Linked DNA regions of Caenorhabditis elegans. The protein of the gene in region 2 interacts with the protein of the main gene of each other region in a pairwise test. Each region holds a gene or a part of one and is shown on either strand. Other genes may lie near its edges.

The links.
Region 1: the proteins of pph-5 (region 2) and C33A11.2 interact in a two-hybrid assay, tested with the Caenorhabditis elegans proteins (one large-scale study listed by BioGRID).

What each region holds. Positions count from the first base shown.
Region 1 is NC_003284.9:15,363,727-15,372,417, forward strand, and holds C33A11.2 (Aa_trans domain-containing protein), read left to right. Parts: upstream 1-2,265; 5' UTR 2,266-2,270; coding exon 2,271-2,346; intron 2,347-3,045; coding exon 3,046-3,320; intron 3,321-4,238; coding exon 4,239-4,416; intron 4,417-4,722; coding exon 4,723-4,817; intron 4,818-4,948; exon of another isoform or gene 4,949-5,020; intron 5,021-5,838; coding exon 5,839-6,030; 3' UTR 6,031-6,273; downstream 6,274-8,691. Other genes in the region: svh-5 (Ets-domain protein), read right to left, coding at 6,916-7,033, 7,085-7,204, 7,263-7,419, 7,472-7,942, 8,241-8,358.
Region 2 is NC_003283.11:19,186,752-19,194,786, forward strand, and holds the start of pph-5 (Serine/threonine-protein phosphatase 5), read left to right. Parts: upstream 1-3,795; 5' UTR 3,796-3,803; coding exon 3,804-3,927; intron 3,928-3,985; coding exon 3,986-4,233; intron 4,234-4,864; coding exon 4,865-5,044; intron 5,045-5,713; coding exon 5,714-5,956; intron 5,957-6,785; coding exon 6,786-7,034; intron 7,035-8,035. Other genes in the region: hot-2 (Homolog of Odr-2 (Two)), read left to right, coding at 48-148, 720-902; Y39B6A.3 (Iron-sulfur cluster assembly 1 homolog, mitochondrial), read right to left, coding at 2,589-2,741, 2,847-2,936, 3,013-3,100, 3,149-3,213.

The DNA.
Region 1 (8,691 bases), on a different chromosome or scaffold from region 2:
CATCCCCTTCAATATTCCTTCATTTTTCACAAAAACAAGCAGCTTCTGTCATTTTTCGCATTTTTATTCTTTGTTGCTAACCTGTCCTATGTAGATAAAACAGGAAGAATGAAGTTCAGGAATAAAATATTAACCAAAGAACCTGTTTTGTAGTTGGGAATATTTAGAGCAGAACTTGTGCTCAACGTTTGCTGAAAAATTTAAAAGTGATTTAGAAGTTGGCAAAGCCTGTCTAAAGTAGACCATGTTCAAGTTTTGCACGACCAGTTTTAAGCACGGTATAAACAGTGCCAGGCTCTGGGTACAGCATATTTTTAAGCGCAAGTAAATTGAACGATTTTTCAGTTACATACGTACGCCTGCCTACTGCCTATTTTCTCCATTTTGGATGTAAAATTAGGTGTTTTGAGAATGAAGACAGTATTCATTTGTTGAAACTTCGAAAATTATTTATACAAAATTCCTGACTGTTGGCAAGCATTTTTGCGCAAACATGTTTTATTTCAAAACTTCCTATTTTGGAAAGTATTTTTTTAAACATTAACCACATTCATTCAGCACGATTATATGGTTCGCATGTGATATTATTTTGTATTCGGTTGCGATTTATTTATTTTTCGAGATTTATTTTACAAAAAAGTTTTATCGTCTGCAAAAATAATTTGTTTGAAAATGACAATAATTATTAATTAGATAAAAAACAGTTATCAATTTTTCAATTTGCTATTTAAATGTTCAAATTTGTTTTCCGAGCCATTTTATTTCAAAATTCGAAAAAAAACCCGTGCAAAACTCGTTATCACTGAGCAATAATGACAGTATTTATTGAAAAAAAATGTTTTGTGGATTTTTGCTTTGCTCGGTCTGAGATCTACCTAGAAATGCAATACAAAGGAATAATGATTCACTTTTCTTCCTGTATTGGTTTTCACCAGATATAAATTCACAGGGTATTTCAACAATTTTCATTTTTCTCTGAAAAATTTCAAAAAATTTGCACAATCTTTTAAAGTCTGAATTAGTATCAAAAATTGAATACTTAACTGAAAAATTGTAAATTTCAAAAAAGCCAGTTACATATATTCATTTTTCCAGGTCTTGAAATTGTTCTACGTATCTATTAAAATGCAAACACTGGATTTCCTAATCCCTTTTAAAGGTGAAGGTAGGGTCAGTTGTTTTTTTGTCTACATGCATTTTTAAAAATTCAGAATGGACGAATTTTAAGATAAATCACTTGAAAATTTTTAGATTTTCAAAATTTTGCAGGCAAATTTTTGGTAATTTGGAAAATTTACAATACATTTTAACTATTTAACAAATTTAGGGCAATGCCCAAAACACAATTGGAAAACAACAATTTTAGGTAAAAGATTTTTTGTGCAACTTCTAAAATTATGAGTAACATTACCTTACCCAATTTTTCAATATAAGTTTTTTGGAGTTAACTTCAAAAAATTCCCTACTGGGGATACCGAATCTTTATTGTAAGGTACGGTAGGATGTGTCTTTCCAAAACATTTAGTTTCTTTTCCAAATTTTTTTTCTGAGCAACCACATGATTTCTCAATCCTCCCGTTTTTTTCCCTCAACAACTGCTCACGTGACAGTCCTCAGATTGTGTTCAAAACTAGCCCCCTCCAGTTGCCCTTTTGTCTCGTATTAGTCCTGACACCTCTATCCTTCCTCAGCTGTCTCGCCGTCTCACTCTCGCAACATAGTGTCCGTAGGGGTCACGTGTCTGCGTGTGTGTGTCTTTTGTGCACACTGGTTATGAACACTTGCCGACTGTTAGAACACCGGATTGCACGCGCAAAACAGTTTTCAAATGGTCTCCAGTTTTTTAGGCCTAATTCTTTTTTCATGCTATGAAATTCGTTGTTTTTCCTATTTTTTCGAAGTTTTTTTTTAAATTGAAAGCATTAGTTGAAAAAAAGGAACTAAAGTTAATAGAATTTTAGGAAGACCTCGAAAAGATACTAATCAATTTACTTTCTCTCTGCCTCTCCAAATAAATTTCTTTTCTCCGCCAAAACGCAGCTGTTTTCTTTCTGCCCTCTAATCGTTCCGAGCCTTCTATCAAATAATTGATAAGAGTATATAACGTTCGAGATAGAAACACCGTTCTGATAACTTTTTAAAGCATCCCCATTCCAACAAAAAAAATCGTTTCCTCACATGATTATGTTTCACATCGATTTTTGTTGTTGTGTTGTTGTTTCACTGTTTGATTCTCGTTTGTTCTTGTTTGTACTCTACTCTTGCAGGGCATGTGTGTCGGCCTGTCAAAACTAGGGTTCGGCCCGCTGCCCGTTCTTATCGCGCTCATCTTCTTCGTGCAGTCATGTAAGTTTTTTTTGTGACAAAAGAAAGTGATAGAATAACTTGAAAATTAAAAAGACAAATTGTCCTGCTATTCGACAACAATGTTTTTTTTTAAATTTAAATTGCAACTTCTGTTATTTAGCAAATATTTTTTTTTCTAAAGACACCAGGTTAATTTAGAGTATTTCGTTTTTAGCATTGCATCAAAATTTCGTTTTCAAAACTAGAACTATTTTTTGCTATTTCGCAGTTATTTTACTATAAAACCGTTCACAAAGTCATCAATGATTTTGGATATCTCGTGAAACAAGTCAAAATGCATTGGAAGAAAAATTAAATTAAATTTATTAATATATTATTTTTAAAAAAATTCAAAATTCATCTTCAACAAATATAGTTTATGGGGTTATTCAAGTAGTGTCGGAAAATTACAAGGTGTAAAAAAAATGACGTCACAACTGTGTTAACATACCTTGTTTTTAATGTATTTTAACACAGTTGTGACGTTATTTTTCTAGACTTTTTAATTTTCCGGCACTACTTGAACAACCCCATAGATTATTTTTTTTTTAAAGACGAATTTAGAAAATTTTTAAATGGTATATAAATAAATTAAAAAAAAAGGATACACACTATGCATTTCCTATACGGTTTCAAATTCACATTGACAAATTACTTCCAAACAGGCCTAACTATGTACATATGTATATCAACTTTCAGTTTTCGTCTACACTATCGCAGTGCTCAAACACGACGTCGATCCAATCTTCCCGTACCTCTCGTCGGCCGCCGACAAACGTCCCCAATCATGCATCTTTGCCATCGGAGCCAACATCAGCAGTGTTCTGCTTGCCCTTGTGGTCTTTGTGAGATATCGCCAGTTGAGGGGCATTTTCGCATTCTATGATGAGGCCAACCTGCAGGCATGGAACTGGCGGCAAAAGTGGTTTGGATACATTGCCGCGCTGGGATTGTTCTTTGTGGCAAATGTTCAGGTAGTTAATTTTGAATAAGTTTAAATTTTAATTCGGCAAAGCCGAAAAAAAAACGTTTTGTCAATGATGTAGAAATTTATATGAATTGTAGCAAAAAATGTACTTGATTTGATGATTTATAGCAATTGATAGGGTTCTGGTAAATGAATAATTTATCAGGGTTGTAGTTTGAAATCCAGTCGACTTTCTAACTGTTAAGAATCAGATCAGAGGTGGGCGGCAAACAAAGTGCCAATTTGCCGAATTTACCCGTCTTATTAATAATTTCCCTAAACATTTCCGGGAAATCTGATATCCGGCAAACGGCAAATTGGCAATTTGCCGAAAATGAAAATTTCCGGTAAATCGGCAAACCGGCAATTTGCCGCCCACCCCCAAATCAGATATAAAAAATGTAATCAGAAAATTAATTATGACGACTTTCAGAATTTTTTTAATTCAAATAAACTAAACTATTGTCACGTGATCGACATTTGGCTCAAGCTTCTTGCCCAAGTCTAATCCAATTTTTGCCAAACTTCTGCCCAAGATTAAAATAAAACAAGACAAGTTTGAGCAAAAGTTTGGCAAGAGATGGGTGAAATTTGGACTAAACTTTGGCGCAGAATAAATCAATGTTTAGCTAAAGTCTTGCCCGACTTTTGTCCAAGTTTAGCTAACTATCGATTCAAGCTAATATTTTTTGGGCCAAATTTAGACAAGAAGCTGAAGCCAAATGCCGAGTGTACAGTGACCCTTTTTACTTTGGCAGCGTTTAATTCACCGAACCCAGAGCGATTTACCCATCGGCTCTTCTCCAGTTCAAACTTGCCACTGAAATCCGCCACAACAACTAGAATGTTACAACAAACGCTGAAAAAAAACCCGAACGAGAGAAAAGTCCGAACGGAATTTCTCCTAATAATTTTTACTTTTCAGGAAACCGCCATCATCCCGGTTCACATGTCCTCCGCCGTTGCCTCATTTGGTGGATTCAGCATCTACATGATCTTCCAGTGCTACCTTACGCACCGAGTCACACCGACAATCACACTGAGGACTGTTTTCTATTACCGTGTGATCTTCACTATCTTCTCCGTGATTTGCTTCTGCTGCTGTAAGTTTCGACCTTTGCACTCGGAATTTTTTTTTTTTCTGAAGAGATTGATCGCATTCTTGATGATAACATCTAGTTGTTCCCTGTAGTGGATTTAAAATACGAATTGGTTGATAATTTAACAAGATTACGCTACATAGAATCGACAAATGTTAAAGGAAGTTGCGCATGATCTTTGAAGTCTTCCTTGGTTAAAGTCTAAACTAGCTCACCAATCGGATATATAAAAAATTGTGCAACATTTTAGCGATGTATCATAAATGATCTCAATGATTCATGGCTATGCAAAGAAATTTAAATTTTCAGCATTTGGATTCGGAATCGCTGCTTCCAAAATCTTCCACAAGACGTACCCGGATCTTCCGACGCCCCGTCCCTGGTCCCGTCGTATTTATCAGCCCGTAAGTATTATTGATATTCAGTAAATAATACATTGAATGATAGTCGAAAACTATAAAACCAAAAAAAATATATATTTCCGGGGGCAGCATAGCTCAGTCGGTAGTGGTGGCCGCTAACAATCTGGAGGTTGGCCTGAGTGGTCTAGTGGGTAAGGTGCGCGACTTTCACCCACATGGTGCAGGTTCAATCCCCACGCCGGTCACTCTTGTCTCCGCTTTGACCGGTGCGTTGGTCGCCTGATCATTATGATGTATGATACCCAAATAAAGTCGTGGTTAATAGACGGGCCGGAGGTCCGTACAGAAAAAAAAACTCGGCGCTGGGTGAATAATATCTGAAGTGCATCGATCAGTTACGAGTCTGGTGATTAATGGGGGCGTCGTCGTCGCTCAGATCCCCCCGACCTAGTCGGGCCAACACCCATTAGCTCTCAACGCGCGCACGTTGTACAATTATTATTATATATTAACAATCTGGAGGTCACAAGTTCAAGTCCGGCCTCACCCCCTGGGTTTACCCAGCCTCTATTGGGAAGTGCAGCAATCCACGACTGGATTATTGTCCACAGTCCCCGGCTAGGACGTGGCTTAAATTATAGCCCAGGGGGAGCACCAGTGTACCTGACTTATAGATCCGCAGTGCATAGCGCTTGTAGAACGGATCGTCATTTAATCTTTTTTTTTTTAAATATTTCATTTAAACAGACTTTCTGTTGAAGGAACCACTACAATCTTGTTGGAATCTTGATGTCAGCTATAAAATTGTTTCATGGGAAATTTCAAATGCTCTTTTTTTTTTAAACTCACTTGCAGTAGCATCTATTCCCTCAATCCCCACCAGCAAATTCGCAGAATGGGTAATTCCTGGTCTCCCGAATTGAATTCCTGGAAAAAATATTTGTTTTGTATTTTAGGAACAATGTACCTTAAAAAATCAGTTTATAGTCTGGTCTCACACAAGGCAGAATGAGTTAAAAAAAACCCCTTGAAGTTCTTAGAAAACAATTTTTCAAATTTCCAGGGCTACGAGCTGCACCAGATCTCGGCGCTCGCTGAATGGGGATGTGCCATCTCACAGATCTTCTTCATACAGTCGTTTGGGCCGGAGTTTGAGGACATCTCCCTCGACTATTATCTCAAATCGCACTACGTTCCGCGCGGAGCACTTGAGCAGGAGGAGTATGAAAATGAGTACCAAGGATATGGCATCTAGAAATTATTGCATTCGAATCTTTCTCTTTCTGTTACCGGTGGGCCGTTGACGCAGCTCATTTTCACGTGTTCTACTAGTATTTTGAAATTTCATGACATTTAATTTTGCTGTAACATCTCATGTTTTTTGCATCCCCGTTTTTCTTTCACAAAGATTCCCCAACTACCCAGTTTTTTTAGTGCCTTGTATATCCCATTGAATTGTTTGTTGCAGGTGCTATCAATCAATTAACCATTTATTTTTATAACTTTTTTTTTCATCTTTCTAGGGACACAAGATTTGAATAATTGGAGGAGACAATTCAGAGCAAAAAAGAAAAGACAAAATGTTTTTAAAATGACAACAAAGAGAGAAATGATCGATTCGGGAAAGGGCTGGAGAACAAAAAATAGTGGGTAAAACTATTGCACAATTTTTTGAGGTAATTATGGTAATTCAGAGAAACAGGAAGAGAGAGAGATGAAAATAAGGAAAATTGAAGGAAAAAAGATAGAAAAATGAAATTAGAAAGGAAAAATGAATTTTTTTAATGAGAAAATCTTGATACAAAATTTATAAATCACAAAACTCAAATTTTTCGGGGAAAACTGAATGATGATGATGATGAGAGAAGATAAGATATTTTTAAATATGGAAACTTTAATAACGACGAAAAAAAAACCATAAGTTAATGTGTTCCCATACGACTACCAATGAATACATCAATTAGAGATCAAAAAACTGGAATTTGATTTGTATATTTGAGTTTCTGTTTGGTTTAGAATTCTTCCAATGAATAGCATTGCTGTGCTATTCAATACCTGACACTGATTGACTGGAATTTCTTGGAAACCTGAAAAGTATATAACATCTAATTTAGCTCCTTTAAAAATTCAAATTTACCATTTAAATGCCCTTTACATTTTCCCAACCATGGGCACCTGGTCCGAACTTGTACACCAGTTTCTTCGGATAAAGACCAGTTTTTGGGACTGGAACCAGTATTTGCTTTTCGTAGTAGGTTCTGAAAAAAAGATATGTTTTTAAGCATTAATTTGAATTTTTGACGACAAACCTCATCGCTCGACTGAGCTTTTCATATGTCATTTTTTCATTGTTTTTTCGAGCTCCCCACAGCCGAGCCAGCTTCTCTGACTCCACGATACGGAATACTCCTTCAATCGGGTCTTCCCATCTGGAAACATTAACCATGAGTATTTAATTTTATTTTTACATTTGCTGAAGGAACTCACCTCACAACAGACGGACAAGTTGATGGGTCTTTCAACGCATCTCTGATAAACTCCCACAATTTATTACCCTTCGTGTGTTGCGAACGCTTTCTTGGTTTGCCATCTTTGTTCTTTTTGATTTTCAAGTCACTGCTTTCAGCCGACCTTTCTTCTGGCACTAAAATAGATTGGATATTGAATAAAACATGAGTCTGGAATTTGGCTCTTACCTTCGTATTCGGTGTTGATCGTGCATGAATATTTGAGCATTGGCGACAACTTTGGTTGGATCGGCGCACTGAGAAGCGGTGACGCGGGGTTTAACCGGCTTGATAGCTGATAGTTGACTCCTAATGGACTGAGACTACTGGTCAAGCCTGCTGCAATGCTGGACGCCAAAGATTGATTGAGCGATTGAACGGCGTTGGCAGTTTGCTGGGGTGTGAGAATTGTAGTGTTAAATGTCTGTTGAGAGAGCACTTGAGTTAGACTGCTCAAATTGTTTAGCTGATGTTGCATAACAGGTAGCGGAGCAAGGTGTGGCGTTGGATGTTGAAGAGGAGGCTGAATTGTGCATGTGATACTGCTAATCATTGGTTGTAATCCCAAGGAAGTCATATCAACGATCGTAGGTGGTGCACTGGTTGTCGCAATTTCATCGTCCACAAATGGCCCAATGACAGTATCAAGAGTTGTGTCTTCTGAAACAAAGAGAAAATGAGAAATGATAGAAGAAAAATCGAATAGTGCTCGAAAGTGCAAGACTTTTACTCTGCTCTTCTGATTCCTCGAATCTCTCTATATTCAAAACTCTTGCAATTCGAAATCATAATAATAATTCTAATTCTAATTCACATGAACTGAAAGAAATCAGACATTGCTGCTTTCTCTCTTTCTGCTGAGAAAAATTAAGAATATAATACCAGTGATCAAAAACCAGCACAAGTGCTTCTAAGTGCTGTCCAACCAAATATTAACCACCGAATCTCACAATCTCACCTGAGTTTTCCAACGTCTTTCTGAACTCGTTGAAAATCAAATTTCCAAAGACCGGATCCCTCTCGATGAAGCATCGCTCGCTCATCGTTAGCATTTCTTGACCCGAGAGCATTGCGAACTGAAAATAGCGCATTAAATATTAGGGAGGAGAAAGAGAAGAGAGGGGGGAAAAACGGGAGAAAAGAAGATATGATGTCGAGCTGGTCTTCTAGAGTTATTTAAAAATGACAAAACTAGTCGATCAACAACCACTCTGCTACGTTAATCCTATTGATATCATTATAGCCTGAAGCTCAGTGAAGGAGACGCCTGATATTGGAAAGGTGGTAGCAACAGGAAATCGCGTACGTACCCGCGTATATGACCTAATAATTTTTTTTTCTCATTTTCAAGCTCTTTTATTACTTGTGATTTTGCTAAAGTGATGTTGAGATAGAAAATGAAAAATGAA
Region 2 (8,035 bases):
TTTCAAAAATTTCAAAAAATGATTATTTTTAATTTTATTTTTTCCAGGAGTATTTATCGGCTTCAAACATATCCGAGGATGCTTGGACCGAGTTTTGCGGCACGGATTTAACCAATCAGCGCTCCGAACTCACCGGTTTCATCAGAATGTGAGTTCTTCTGGGGTCGAAAATAGTGTGGAACTCGTCAACACAAAATGCTCAATGAGCTCTATCTCTCGGCTCAAAGAGGCATTAGCTCAAATTAAATAAAAAATTTGATTTCGCCATAAAATTTGCTACTGATTTGACCCCCATATCGACAACTTCAAAATTTTAGAAATCGACGTCCCAAAATGCTCATCGAGCTCTATCTCGGCTCAAAGTGACGTTAGCTCAAATTTGATAAAAAATTTGAATTTGCGATAAATTTTGCTACTGATTTGACCCCCATATTGATATTTTTGAAATTTTGGAATTTGACAACACCAAATGCTCATTTTGAAAAATCGATTTTCTAGGCCTCAAAATAGGCTTATTTTGAGTTAAAAAACATTTTTAAAGCCTAAAAGCTTAAAAGCTTAAAATATTTGTAGTCCCGACAATTTTTAGACAGTTTTAAAAATGAGTCCCAGTGGCGCAGTATGTTAGAGGCGCGTTTACCACGCACAGGTCCAAAGTTCGAGTCCCACTGCGGTCAATAATTTTTATTTTTATTGTGATTCTTAATAAAACATTCCAGAACCACTGCCGAACGCTTTCCCGCTCAGCCCTCTTCAACCCAGCCCGGCAGACTGACCCCCCGGCACTCGGCGATGTTCAACTGTGCTCGTGTTACGGTGACCGGTGTAATTCTACAATAATGACGTCATCATCAATATTTATCGTCTTTTTATTAGTTTTTCTACATCGGTTATTGTATTGAAAAAGATTTTCTAAAAAATTTTTTTTTTGTGAAAAAAATTGCAATTTTTTTTTGAATTTATTGATTTTTACATGTCTTTCTTTGGATTTTTTTTTTGAAATATGATCTCCGTTTCTCTAGATGCCCATTTTTATGTTGGATATATGTATTACGGGTTTTTATATAAATATATATATATATTGGAAACACCAAACATTATTGGTTTTTTTTTTTGCTATTCTAACTGTAAGTTTTATTGCAAAAAGTGAATAAATTTTTACGTTCTTTTTTCTGAAAATTGTTTTATTTAAAAAAAAACAAAAAAACAAAAAAATTCAAAGATTTTGTCCAAATGGCTCAGTGGGATTTTCGCCGAACAAACTAAAACTACGAGAAAAAGGTGAAAATTGAGTTTTAAAACTTTAATTTATGAAAAATCTAAAAATTTGTGAGTTTTTCGCATATAAAAACTTAAAATTTAACTTAAAACCGTGATTTCTTATAATTTTCATCATTTTTCTGAATTTTTGAAAAGTTCGGTACAAGTGGCTCAGTGGGATTTTCGCCGACTACCAATCACAAGACCGGGGTTCGAGGCCGCGCTGAGGTCAAAAATTTTTGTAGTGGTTTTTTAACGTTTTTTGACAATTCAACTACGTAGAGTCCAAATTTTTAAGTGTTAGAAAACCAAAAACTACAAGAAAATGGTGAAAATTAAGTTTCAAAATTTCAATTTTAAAAAAGTCTAAAACTAGAGCTTTTTACATATAAAAACTTAAAATTTAACTTAAAACCGTGATTTCTTATAATTTTCATCGTTTTTCTGAATTTTCGAAAATTTTGTCCAAGTGGCGCAGTGGGATTTTCGCCGACTACCAATCACAAGACCGGGGTTCGAGACCGCACTGTGGCACAATTTTTTTATTGTGATTTTTAAACGGTTTTCGGATAATTCCACCATGCGGAATCCGAATTTTCAAGTTTTAGAACACAAAAACTACGAGAACATTATGAAAATTGAATTTTAAACTTTAATTTTTTTAAAAATCTAAAATTTGTGAGTTTTTCACATATAAAAAATTAAAATTTAACTTAAAACCGTGATTTCTTATAATTTCCATCGTTTTTCTGAATTTTCGAAAATTGTGTCCAAGTGGTGCAGTGGGATTTTCGCCGACTACCAATCATACCTCCGGGGTTCGAGTCCCCGCTGTGGTAAAAAATTTTTATTTTGATTTTTAAATGGTTTTCGGATAATTCCACCATGCGGAATCCGAATTTTCAAGTTTTAGAACACAAAAACTACGAGAACATGGTGAAAATTGAATTTTAAACTTTAATTTTTTTTAAAATCTAAAATTTGTGAGTTTTTCACATATAAAAATTTAAAATTTAACTTAAAACCGTGATTTCTTATAATTTCCATCGTTTTTCTGAATTTTCAAAAAAATGTGTCCAAGTGGCGCAGTGGGATTTTCGCCGACTACCAATCACACCTCCGGGGTTCGAGCCCCCAGCGTGGTCGAATTTTTTTGTATCTTTTGTATTTTTCTCCAAACAAGTTAATCATGCAAACTTCATATGTTTTTCACCTGAAAATTGCCAAATTTTCTGCACTATATTCAAATTTATTAGCATTTTTTCTAGAATGTACACGTGGAAATCACTACTAAATTATGGTAAATAGCGTAGCAAATCATCATCAAATCAAATACTAAAAGATTCTCCGCATCCACACGTTCCTTTAATATTAGGATTTCGGAAAACGAATTCCGACGATAGCTTATCGGTGACGTAATCCATTTCTGAGCCGAGTAGCGAGAGCTGAGCTTTTGGTTCGATCCACACTTTGATTCCGTCCTGGAAAATGGGAAAAATTGGGGGATTTTTCATCGAAATTAGTGAAAATCCGGGTTTTTTGTGATAAATTTGAGCTAAAAATCCAGATTTTGAGGCAATTTCTACCTGCTCAACTTCCTCGTCAAATTTCTGCTTATCCTTTGCATATTCCAGTGTATATGTTAACCCATTACAGCCTTTTTGTCGAACTCCGATCTGAAAAAATTAAAAATTTCATCATTTCCGGCGGCGCAAAAATCGAAAAATCGAAAAATCGACGGAAAAAACGAACTTTCAACGCATTTGCATCATTCTGTTGAGCCAATAACACGCGTATTCTGCTGACGGCTTCGTTGGTAAGTGTGAGAGCCGCTCTGAAACTTTTTCGGGGTGAAAATTGGCAGATTTCCGGGAAAATTCAGAATTACCTCGTTTGTCGGACTTTTAGCGCGCCTTTTATGACTTTTGCAGTTGCTCCACCGAATTTTGACATCGGAAAATTGAAAATTTAGTCGAAAAATGAGTAAAATAGCGAAAATTCCAGAAATAAAATGAAAAAAAAAAAAAAAGTGACAACGTTGCTCCGAAATCCCGGCCACGCGTGTAGTTTACCGTAAATCCAAACAAGAAATTTTTTGTCAAAATTGCCGAAATCAAGCGATTTTTAAGCTTTTTTTCTGTAAATTTTTTACGAAAATATGAAAAAATCAACGTTTTCATGCTATTATTTATTTTTCCCCTGTAAAAAACCTTTGAAATCATCGAAAAACCCTTAAAATCCAATAAAAACCCAAACACAACGACACTCCGCTCACCTCCCACCGCGTGTTGTTTACCGTAAATCCACACACAAGAGCAATTGTGCAAAAAAAAAAAACCCCGTCCAACCGGAAATTGTCCCAAAATTCTTCATTTTCTATCGATTTTCTTGCATTTTTTGTGTTTTTTGTGAATTTCAGGCTCAACATTTCGAAAAACACGGTTAAATTTTAGGGAAACCGCTCCGAAATTCGGTTTTTTTCGCTAAAAAAAAAGAGAAAAAAAAGAAAAAAAAAAATAAAATCTAAATTTTCAGGCTCCGAAATGGCTGCCACTATAACAGATGACATTGTGGCGACAGTTTTGGAGTCAATTGAGGAAAAGTCGTACGAAGATGAGAAGGAGAAGGCTGGAATGATTAAAGATGAAGCTAATCAGTTTTTTAAGGGTATTTTTTGGAAAAAAACCGATTTTTTGATGAATTTTAAAGTATTTTCCTGCTGCAGATCAAGTGTACGACGTGGCCGCCGACCTCTACTCTGTCGCAATTGAGATTCATCCGACGGCGGTTCTTTACGGAAACCGTGCACAGGCCTATCTGAAGAAAGAGCTCTACGGAAGTGCTCTTGAGGATGCGGACAACGCGATTGCAATTGATCCGTCATATGTGAAGGGATTCTATAGAAGAGCTACCGCCAATATGGCTCTGGGGCGGTTTAAAAAGGCGTTGACCGATTATCAGGCGGTTGTTAAGGTGAAAATTCACTTTTTTTGGGTGTTGAAGAGCGGAAAAAACGGCGGTTTAGAAACTATTTTTCACCCGGTTTAAGAGAAAATTTCGAAAAAATATATCAATTTTCACCTCCAGAAAGTCGGAAAACGCGAAAAATTTGAAATTTTGCTTTTTCAATTTTGGGCGCTGCTAAGACTACAAACTACAAGATTTTGGGCGCTGCTAATTCAATTTTGGGCGCTGCTTAGACTACAAACTACAATATTTTGGGCGCTGCTTAGACTACAAACTACAAGATTTTGGGCGCTGCTAATTCAATTTTGGGCGCTGCTTAGACTACAAACTACAAGTTTTGGGCGCTGCTAATTCAATTTTGGGCGCTGTTAGACTACAAACTACAATATTTTGGGCGCTGCTAATTTAATTTTGGGCGCTGCTTAAACTACAAACTACAAGTTTTGGGCGCTGCTAATTCAATTTTGGGCGCTGCTGACAGCTTTCGGCCGAAAAAATTGAAAAGAAATCGATATTTATGAAAAAAAAAACCAATTTTTATGAGAAAAACGTGATTTTTGATAATTTTTCTCTCAAATTTAGTATAATTTCAAAAATTCCCGTATTTTTCCCCGAAAAAATTTCCATTTTTTTGCAGGTTTGCCCCAACGACAAAGACGCTCGCGCAAAATTCGACGAATGCTCGAAAATCGTCCGCCGACAGAAGTTTGAAGCCGCAATTTCGACGGATCACGACAAGAAAACCGTCGCCGAGACTCTTGATATTAATGCAATGGCTATTGAGGATTCGTATGATGGTCCACGGCTGGAAGATAAAGTACGGGTGGAAAATGGCTGTGAAAATCGATTTTTAGACGGAAAATTGATGTAAAACCGGCAATTTTGACCCCGAAATTCAATTTTCAGAGCGGAAATTGCGATTTTCGGTGGAAAACTGATGTAAAAATCAATTTTTCATAGAAATTTGATCTAAAAAACGGTCCAAAAACATAAATTTTTGTGAAAATCGATCTAAAAATACGTTTTTCAAGGGTAATAGGCCAGAAATTCGAATTTTTTTGCGAAAATTAGTCCAAAAAATCGATTTTTCAAGGGAAAAGTGGTCCTGAAACTATTTTTCATAAAAATTAATTTGAAAATCTATTTTTCACTGCAATTTTAACCCAAAAATCGATTTTTCACAAAAAAAAACTAGCATTTCCGGTCAGAAAACGTGCAAATTTCCAATCTTTTTTGGATTTTCTGGAATTTTCATTAAAAAATTGGTCCAAAAATCTATTTTTCATAGAAATTTAGTCCAAAAGTCAATTTTTCACGAAAAATTCGCCTGAAAATCATTTTTTTTTCATAGAAATTTAGTCTAAAAATCGATTTTCCGCAAAAAATACAGAAAAAAAGTGAATTTTTCGTTAAAAAAAAGCGAAAAATTGAGTTTTTTCCCGTTTTTTCCGTAAAAAACCGCAAAAATGATCAAAATCCTTTTCAGATAACCAAGGAATTCGTGTTGCAACTCATCAAAACGTTCAAAAATCAGCAAAAATTGCACAAAAAGTACGCGTTCAAGATGCTCCTCGAGTTTTATAATTATGTCAAATCACTGCCAACAATGGTTGAAATTACGGTGCCAACTGGCAAGAAATTCACGATTTGCGGTGATGTTCACGGACAATTCTACGATTTGTGCAATATTTTCGAGATTAATGGATATCCATCGGAGACTAATCCATATGTACGGGGAAAGCGCTGAAAAATGAGAGATTTTGACTGAAAATCCGGGAAAATTGAGGAATTTTGAGCTAAAATTCATAAAAATTTCCAATTTTTGACCGAAAATCATGAAAATAGGCAAATTTTGTGATATAATCATGTTTTCTAGTGAAAAACCTCTAAAAATTGAATTTTTTTGCAGAAATTATTGAAATAAGCTCAATAAATCGACATTTTGATTGAAATTCGTGAAAAAATTTCAAACATTAAAACCAAAACAGCTGAAAATTGAGGAATTTTCACCAAAAATGCGGATTTTCAGATAAAAACCCTGAAATGATTTTTTTTTTCAAAGTTTTGGCAGAAGTCATTGAAAAATTCCGAATTTTTAGCAAAAAGCAAAAAAATTGCCAATTTTTGACTTTAAATTTATGAAAAATGCTCGATTTTTTTACTAAAAACCGCCTGAAAGCCAAAATTTTGTCAAAAATCTTGAAAAAGTCGAATTTTCTACAAAAAACCATCAAAATTTCGAAATTTTGACTTAAAAATCAATGCAAAATATTTTTTTTTCACTAAAAAGCTGAAAAATGCTCTTTTTTAATGCTCGAAATTTTGGCTAAAATTCATTTTAAAAAATCCTGATTTTCACCAAAAATTGGCAATTTTTCATCAAAAAACTTGAAAAAATTTCAATTTTTTGCTGAAATTGCAGAAATACCACAAAAATTACCAAATTTTGACTCTAAAAATCACGAAAACACCTAATTTTCACCCCAAAAACCCCCGAAAATGGCCAAATTTTCACTTAAAATATGTGAAAAATGCTCAAAAAATGGCCAAATTTTCAGCTTTTCAACGGTGATTTCGTGGATCGTGGCTCATTTTCCGTTGAAACAATTTTCACAATGATTGGCTTCAAACTTCTATACCCAAATCATTTCTTTATGTCACGTGGAAATCACGAATCTGACGTCATGAATAAAATGTACGGATTTGAGGGTGAAGTTAAGGCGAAATATACTCAACAAATGTGTGATATGTTTACGGAGACGTTCTGCTGGTTACCATTGTGCCATTTGATTAATGAGAAGATTTTTGTGAGTTTCTTCACGTGAAAAATGGCCTGGAAATCTGGAAAATTTGAGGAAAATGGCCCAGAAATCGCTGAAATCCTGGATTTTTCATTTCTGGGCGCTGCTAATTTTCTGGACGCTGCTAATTTTTTGGTCACTGCTAATTATTTGGTCGCTGCTAATTTTTTGGGCGCTGCTAATTATTTGGTCGCTGCTAATTTTTTGGTCGCTGCTAATTATTTGGTCGCTGCTAATTTTTTGGTCACTGCTAATTATTTGGTCGCTGCTAATTTTTTGGGCGCTGCTAATTATTTGGTCGCTGCTAATTTTTTGGTCGCTGCTAATTATTTGGTCGCTGCTAATTTTCTGGGCGCTGCTAATTTTTTTGGTCGCTGCTAATTTTCTGGTCGCTGCTAATTTTCTGGTCGCTGCTAATTTTCTGGGCGCTGCTAATTTTTTTGGTCGCTGCTAAATTTTTGGGCGCTGCTAAATTTTTGGGCGCTGCTAATTTTCTGGGCGCTGCTAATTTTTTGGGCGCTGCTAATTTTTTGGTCGCTGCTAATTATTTGGTCGCTGCTAATTTTTTGGGCGCTGCTAATTTTTTGGTCGCTGCTAATTATTTGGTCGCTGCTAATTTTTTGGGCGCTGCTAATTTTTTGGTCGCTGCTAATTATTTGGTCGCTGCTAATTATTTGGTCGCTGCTAATTTTCTGGTCGCTGCTAATTTTTTGGGCGCTGCTAATTTTTGGGCGCTGCTAATTTTCTGGTCGCTGCTAATTTTTTGGGCGCTGCTAATTTTTGGGCGCTGCTAATTTTCTGGTCGCTGCTAATTTTCTGGTCGCTGCTAATTTTTTGGGCGCTGCTAATTTTTGGGCGCTGCTAATTTTTTGGTTGCTGCTAATTTTCTGGGCGCTGCTAATTTTTGGGCGCTGCTAATTTTTTGGTCGCTGCTAATTATTTGGTCGCTGCTAATTTTCTGGTCGCTGCTAATTTTTTGGGCGCTGCTAATTTTTGGGCGCTGCTAA